2 linked regions of the Notamacropus eugenii genome follow. The protein of the gene in region 1 interacts with the protein of each later gene in a biochemical or structural test. Links are inferred from orthologs where the notes say so. Each region holds a gene or a part of one and is shown on either strand. Other genes may lie near its edges.

Region 1 (3,743 bases):
AGGGTCTGTGTTATGAGTTGTTGTCCAATTATGAAAAGAGATTTGCCCCAATATGACTGCAGTCTTGTCAGGTCTCCAGTTATAGCTCTGCCTCACAGGGCGAGGCTTCCTAGCAGAGGTTCAGTCTGTTTGTAGGCCCGGAAAAGAGTTAAGAAATAACTAAGTCCAGGACATAGGGATGAGAGAGATATGTGAACCATGCAGATAAGTGCCTGTAGCCTTAATACACACTTAAAAGACTTAGGAAATATTTTTCCTAATGACAATCTCATGAAATACCACACTTGAAGCTTGTAACTATTATTAGACCCATTTTACAGATGAGGAAACTGGGGTTGAAAGATTCAATTTCTTTCTTGGCCTTATAGGGGCAGATAGATTTGTATAGTACATAGAATGGTAGGTCAGGAGTCAGGGAAGACGAGTTCAAATTCTGCCTCAAACACTTGGTAGCTTCATGACTACAACAAATCACTAAAACTATAAAATGGATAAAATAAAAGCAGTTGTTGAGGATCAAATAAAATATTTGTAAGACACAGCCCAGAACCTGGCACTTAGTAGGAGCTTTATAAATGCTTATTCCCTTCCCTTCATTAGAGTTAGTGACAAACCGGATTCAAATTCAGGTCTTTCTGACTCCAAGCCCAGAGCCTGCCACCACTTGCTCATAGTCACAGATCACCTAAAGGAATAAAGACATATTTTGAAGGCTTTAGCGGTCCAATTTGACTGGAGCATACAGTAATAATGGAAGGGGGAAGTCATCTAAGTTTAGACTGAAAAAAATAGGCAGGTGTCAGAACAGGGGAAGGACGTTACTTGACAAATTCGATTTTCACATCAGTTTCTGCTTCACTGAATGGAGAATATGGACAAGGGGAAGCTGCAAATTGTTTCTATATACAGATACATTAAATAAACGTTAGTAGGATGAGGCAGGGTTGCGTGGTGGATACAGCACACTGACTTCGGGGCCCGAAAGACTTCAAGTCCTGACTGACAGATACTGTGTCACCTTGGGGAAGGGAGTAACCTTCCCTGGACCTCAGTTTCCTCTTCTGTAAAAGCAGGGGACAGACTCCGAGGACCTTGATTCAAGTCTCCTAATTTCCATGGGCCTCAGTTTCCACATCTGTAAAATCGAGGGAGGACTCGAGAGCCTCTGCACTCTGCCCCGGGGCCGTGGTAATTTCTTTGGGTCGGAACTCCTCCTCCCCCGGCCACTGCTGCATTTCCTTCCAGGGTTCGATGTGGCCGCAGTAACCAGCCCCCCAACTTGACTCCTCCGCGGCCGGCCGCTCCCCAGCCCCCCGCCCGCCTCTCCCTTGGGCTGGCTGGTTACGGAGGAAGGGAGGTCCCGGCCGTGGCCCAGACCGTGACCGCGACCGGGGCCCAGGCGGAGCGCGGGAAGCGGGGGGAGGAAGGGGGGCGCTGCTCCGCTCCGGCCACGCCCTCCCCGGGGGACTCCCGCCCACGCCTCCCGCTTCCCTCCCTCCCCACGGAGGGAGCGGCAGTCGCGCTGAGCCCCGATTCCACCTGGCAGCGCGGGGGCCCCGGACCCCTCCCAGAGGAGCAGGTAAGCTTCTCCTCGGCCCCCTCCCCTATCTTGCTTTTTCCTCCTCCGGGACGCATCCACGCAGTTTGCGAGTGGGGCGGCAGGGCAGAGGCCACGCCAGGGGCTGGCCTCCTCGGGTCGGCCACCTCTGGAGGGCGGCCCGGCTGCCTCCGGAGCCCAGAGGACGTGGATCTTGGCCGGGGTGGGGGTGGGTGGGGGCGGGAACTTCCCCAGGTGCTGCTCACCTGGGCTCGGCCCGGGACAGAGCCGGCTGCCCGCGGCGCTGCGGGATACTCCGAAACCCAAACTTGCCTTCTGCTGCCGGGATTTCTCTGCAGTGACTCACATCCCCTGGGAGCTGCCTGCGAAGGGGACGGAATGTGGGTCCGGCTGGGGGGAGGGGGCTTGGGCGTCCGAACTTGGGGTTTGGGGAGAAGCAAGACCGGGGAACCGAGAAGGAAATCGGAGGACCCCGTCCAGTAGAGATAGGCACCAACTTCCTACCCTTGGGGACAAGTCCCTCCTGCAGTCCGCGATCCGTCCGGAGCTTAAACAGTGCCTGACACGCAGAGTGGGCGCCAAATAAATGTGTTTTACTTATTACTATCAGCCAAATCCTATTCTGCGTGCGCTTCCTTTTGCCAGTCTTTTAAAGGATGCCTGTTAAGGGGGTTATTTCCCCCAGAGACTCTTTTGGAGCCTGATCTGAGATGTCTAGAAACAAAAGCACCTTGCTTTTTTTTAAAACCATATGTAAGATTTTTTTATTCCTCTCTTCTGTATCTGTCAGGACATGCTGGAGGAGAAAAAAAATCACTTCCTAGGAAAAAAACCAACAAAAACAAGTAATGACACTCTTGCTGAAGTAGGATTTCAAATGATCCTTCAGAACCTAGACTTGGTTTGATAAGCTGCCGTGGTATTTGTGTAAGACGTTAAAAGAGGCCATTGTGATTAAGTAGCATTGTTTGAAACAGCAAAAGAAAAAAAGGAAGGACATGGGGTGTTAAAGAACTGACATCTAAACTTTCCCTTTGCTTTCAGACAAAATGCTTGGCCTTAGGCCTCCTTTCTTTTCTTTTTTAACATTTGGTTGTCAAGTCCTCGTATTTGGAGAAAAAGGGCATTTGGAGTTTAATTTCACTAAGTATGCATGGAAAGCAAAATATTGTCTAGTTGATAGGAATGTACTTAAATAAAATAAACTTTCAGGTCCTCCCACCTCAGTTAAACATTTTAGGAAAATTTGAGTTTTCTATTACCCTGATTCCTCCCATGGGGGTTTGGGGAAGATTAATGAGAATACCATTTACCTCTGTAATACCTGGGATATTGTTTTTGGCCAAAAACTCTTGAAGAAACTTACACTAACTTTGCCTGGAAGTTCAAGAATTTACTTCAGCAGGTGAACAGGGATACCTCAGGACATGCCCTCTTTATCTGCCAGTCGTGATTTGAAGGCCTTGGAAAACTGTGCTTGAAGGGACAGGGTAACAAATACTTTCCTAAGTCTGTGTGGCATTGTGATCCCTTTTTTCTGTGATTGTCTCTCACCAGCAGGCCTTTTCGCTGGATACTCTCTGTATCTCTACCTGTTGGGTTTAGTAAAAAGTCAGTCTTGAATTACTGAAATCTTTAAAGGCCCAATCGAGGTACTACTTCCTCTATATTGGCTGATCCACTGTCCTCAGCCTCACTCCCAAACTACCAGCTAAACTGATATATCTCCTCCTCAAATTTTCTTAGAGCACTTTGTCCTGAACTTTTATTGTTAATCACATTCTGCCTTCTGTCAGTTAATTTGTACATTTTTGCACATTTGTATAGCTGGAGAATTGATGTTGCCACCAAAAAGTCAGCACCCTGCTGCTTTGCTGATACACTTCTCCAAACTTAGGCTGGTTCTTACACAAAAGACCTAGGAGCTACCCTGTAAGTCTTTGCTGCCAGGTAGAATCCTCTAGAGCTTTACTTTATGAATTGCAAAGACTTTTTGAACCCAGTCACCTCTAGGCTGCAATTAGGCCCAGCCTTAGGACTTTCTGGTTTTACTTTCACCCTGACACACCCCTTTGAAGTAAATGGACTTCATTACTATCTTACTTTTGTGGGAGGGAGATGTGAGATCACAAAGAGAATATTGCTTTTATTCGGAGCTTTCGGAATCTTTGTAAGATGAAATGTT
Region 2 (3,743 bases), about 72 Mb from region 1:
GGGTATCCCCAAAGTCTTAGTGCCGCTAAGTGAGGCTAGTACCGCTTCAAGCTGCACTAGGACTTTGGGGACACCGCCTTTCTCCGCTCGGCCTTACCCTAACCACTGAGCCGCCCCTTGTAACAAGGCAGTGGGGGAGGGGAATCTCCCACGGACCCAGTCGTCCCCGGGCCTGCCGGGCCCCCCGTCCGGCCCCTCCGCGAAGGAGGGGCAGGGGTGCATCGCTCCCCACGCGGCCGGAGCCCCCCGGGGCACGGACCGCCCGGCGGTCCCTTCCCCTGGGGCGGGAGGGGCAGGGAGCGCCCGGGGCCCTGGGGCCCTGCCGACCCGGCTCCGGCTCCGACCGCAGAGCGCTCCCCGGCCACGAGGGGAGCCGCCCTCCACCCCCACCGGGAAACAGCGGGGTTCGCACCCGCGACGACCCGGGACCCGGAGCCTCGGCCCCTCTCGGTTAAACTGCCCAACTGGACACGGAACCTTCTAGGGCACCCGAGGAGCCCGGGCCGGAATACAAGCATTCCATTGGCTGCCGCCGGCAGGTAGGCGGGGCTGCGGGCGCTGCACGTTGGGCCATCGCAGTCTGGAAATCCTCCCTGAGACCAACCCCCAGAATCTTCTGTGACGATTGGCTTGAGGACACGTCAATCATTTGGCCAACCCGTCCCTGCCTGTAAGTGACAAACGCCCAGGAGAAACCTGGAACGTGATTGGCCGGTTTTTAGGACAAAGGCGAACCAAAGCAAGACCAAGCCCATCGATTGGCCGCGGCCTGACAACGTGTTCCGGCAATTGGCGAGACAAGACTGGGTGAGGGGAGAGCTCGGCCTCCTTTCCGGGGATTGGTGGAAACACGAGGAAGGGGGGCGGGGACGCAGCTACTTTTCCGCTGCCTGGGGGTGCTGCGTCCTAGCGGGCAAGATGTCGGCTTCGCGGGTGCCGGAGCTGAAGCAGATCAGCCGCGGGGAGGCTATGCGTCTCGGGCCCGGCTGGAGCCACTCTTGCCACGCCATGCTCTACGCAGCCAATCCCGGGCAGTTGTTCGGGCGGATCCCCTTGCGCTTCTCGGTTCTGGTGAGGGCGGAGGGAGAGTGCGGCCGGACTGCGGGGCGGAGGGTGGGCGGAGCCGGCCGGGCCGAGGAGCCGGAGCCGCGGCTGCGGGGGAGCGGGGTGCCGGGCCGCCTGGGGCCGAGGGAGCGCGGAGGCGGGGCCGAGGCCGGGGGATCGGGGCTGAGCGCGCCGGCCGCAGACGGCGGGAGCCGGAGGGAGAGCCGCGGCCCGCCCGGCCCGCTGACCCGAGCGGTTCTGTTGCAGATGCAGATGCGCTTTGACGGGCTCCTGGGCTTCCCTGGGGGGTTTGTGGATCGTCGGTTCTGGTCCCTGGAAGACGGGCTGAACCGGGTGCTGGGCTTAGGCTTGGGCTACCTGCGCCTCACGGAAGCCGACTACCTGAGCTCGCACCTCACGGAGGGCCCGCACCGCGTCGTGGCCCACCTGTACGCCCGGCAGCTCACCCTGGAGGAGCTGCACGCGGTGGAGATCAGCGCGGTGCACTCGCGGGACCACGGGCTGGAGGTGGGGCGCCGGCCGAGGTCTCCAGCGTTGGGCCGCAGGGGGTGACGGTGGCGCCCGGGGAGGGGAGGGAGGGGAGAGGCCGGGAGCGGGGCCGGGAGCGGGGCCGGGCTGGGGGGCCGGGAGTGGGGTCGGGAGCGGGGCCGGGCTGCGGGGTCGGGAGCGGGGCCGGGAGCGGGGCCGGGAGCGGGGCCGGGCTGGGAGGTCGGGAGCGGGGCCGGGCCGGGGGGCCGGGAGCGGGGCCGGGCTGCGGGGTCGGGAGCGGGGCCGGGCTGGGGGGCCGGGAGCGGGGCCGGGCTGCGGGATCGGGAGCGGGGCCGGGCTGGGGGGCCGGGAGCGGGGTCGGGAGCTTGGCCGGGAGCGGGGCTGGGCTGCGGGGTCGGGAGCGGGGCTGGGCTGCGGGGTCGGGAGCGGGGCCGGGCTGCGGGGTCGGGAGCGGGGCCGAGGTGGCCAAGAAGTTTCCTTGCGTTGGGGAACGGGGCGTTGCTTATGCAGACGATGGGTGGGAAAAGGGAGAGTAGGACTTGGGAAAGTTGGGGTTTTGTGGGATTGAGATGGGATGTGGAGGGAGGGAGGGGTGTGGGGCTTGGGCTGGGGAGGAGGTCGTAAGGTCCCAGGGGTGCTCGGGGTCCGAGGGCTGCCCGCGTCCCCCCCCCCGCTCGGAATTCAGGAAGGTGTGCATTGTAAATGGACGCACTAAGGGATCCAGGAGAAGCCGCGGGAAGACTTCCCCGTAACATAGGTTCCCAGGGGGTAATTGGACCTCCAGGTGGCCAAGCAGCCCTTGGCACGCACGGGGCTCAGCAGGGGGGAGCCCAGCCCGGTCCCCAGCTGGGTTCCCGACGGCCCTGTCCGCTCTTGTTGCAGGTGCTGGGCCTGGTCCGGGTTCCCCTGTACACCCAGAAGGATCGAGTTGGTGGGTTCCCCAACTTCCTTAGCAATGCCTTCATCAGCACCGCCAAGCACCAGCTGCTCTTTGCCCTGAAGGTGCTGAATATGATGCCCGAGGACAAGCTGGCTGAGGCCTTGGCTGCTGCTACTGAGAAACAGAAAAAAGCCTTGGAGCAACAGCAGACTGCTTCCTCCTGAAGCCACCCTCCCCATCCCTGGGGCTGGGTTTTCTCTCCCTGTCTCTTTCCCTGCCCCGTCTTTTATCCACATTTTCTATGCTCCAGGGGCTGAGAAAAGACTTGAGATAATTCTACATTCCACAGAGGTGTGGGGTCTCTCCCTGCTTCCCCCCCATGCCTGAAAAGGAGTGCATTTCATTCCTGCCTTCGACCTCTGTGTAGTCCTTTTCTTTGACCTGGCTGCAAAGCAGCAGTGGCGGAGCCGCAGCCTGGGCTGGCACTTCAGGTTGGTGTAGAGGGGTGCGAGAGGAGCAGCACCTGGCCGAGGTTTGGAGTGACCCGTTTATTAGCACTAGCTTCAGTGTTTGGCCTTTGGGGTCAAGGTCAAGACCTTGACATTTCTCTGCATGAATCGTTTGTTTCAAGGGGCAGTTGTCAGTTTGGTTCAGGCCCCAGGTATAAGGGTGTTCTGGTTTAAAAGTTCCCTAATTCTCAAGGATGCTTTGGGTTACATTGGCGTGTTCCTGCTTGTTCCATTTCCTTACCCCAAAGAGGGAAGGAATCGAGGTTTTGGTGGGATGTGGCTGGGGCTTTTTTGGTTCTCTTTCATTTTGGAATTGTTAGGTTTTATATTCATGTGGAATATGGGATTTTAAAGTAACTTTCAGCCGGTCTCTGCCTATTTTGAAAGAGCTTGGGCAGTTTAGCCTGACTAGGGTGGACAGGGGATGCTCTTTCCCTGAAAGCCTGGGAAAGGCTAGGGCTTGGTGTATTGTTTTGTATGTGTGCATACATCTGTATGTGTGAGACTGTGTGCGTGTGTGCTCCCTCAAGTGCAAATCTGAGCAGGAAAGAAAAATAAAGTGGCTTGACAGCTCCTTGGTGTGGCCCTCCTTTTATCTTCAGCAGAGGGATTCTGGAGTCCCCGTCCCTGGGATCCTGGGGCATAAGAGTGAAGATGCTATGTTTTCGTAGGGAGAGGACTGGCCAGTCATCACTGAGCCATGCACACTCCTTTCAGATCCCTGGAAGTGTGTATTTCTAAGGAAGCTAAGACTGTGGGGGCAGCATAGCTTCGGACTCAAGAGTTTTTCTTTGTTCAGA

The links. The genes of interacting proteins can lie anywhere in the genome.
Region 2: the proteins of LRRK1 (region 1) and NUDT16L1 form a complex in vitro, tested with the Homo sapiens proteins (2 studies listed by BioGRID and IntAct, with this or other methods). The link is inferred for Notamacropus eugenii from reciprocal best matches to the Homo sapiens genes LRRK1 and NUDT16L1.

The regions. Positions count from the first base shown.
Region 1 is NC_092872.1:153,612,005-153,615,747, reverse strand, and holds the start of LRRK1 (leucine-rich repeat serine/threonine-protein kinase 1), read left to right. Parts: upstream 1-1,479; 5' UTR 1,480-1,579; intron 1,580-3,743.
Region 2 is NC_092872.1:82,021,516-82,025,258, forward strand, and holds NUDT16L1 (tudor-interacting repair regulator protein), read left to right. Parts: upstream 1-918; coding exon 919-1,071; intron 1,072-1,311; coding exon 1,312-1,572; intron 1,573-2,436; coding exon 2,437-2,658; 3' UTR 2,659-3,516; downstream 3,517-3,743. UniProt on the Homo sapiens protein: Key regulator of TP53BP1 required to stabilize TP53BP1 and regulate its recruitment to chromatin.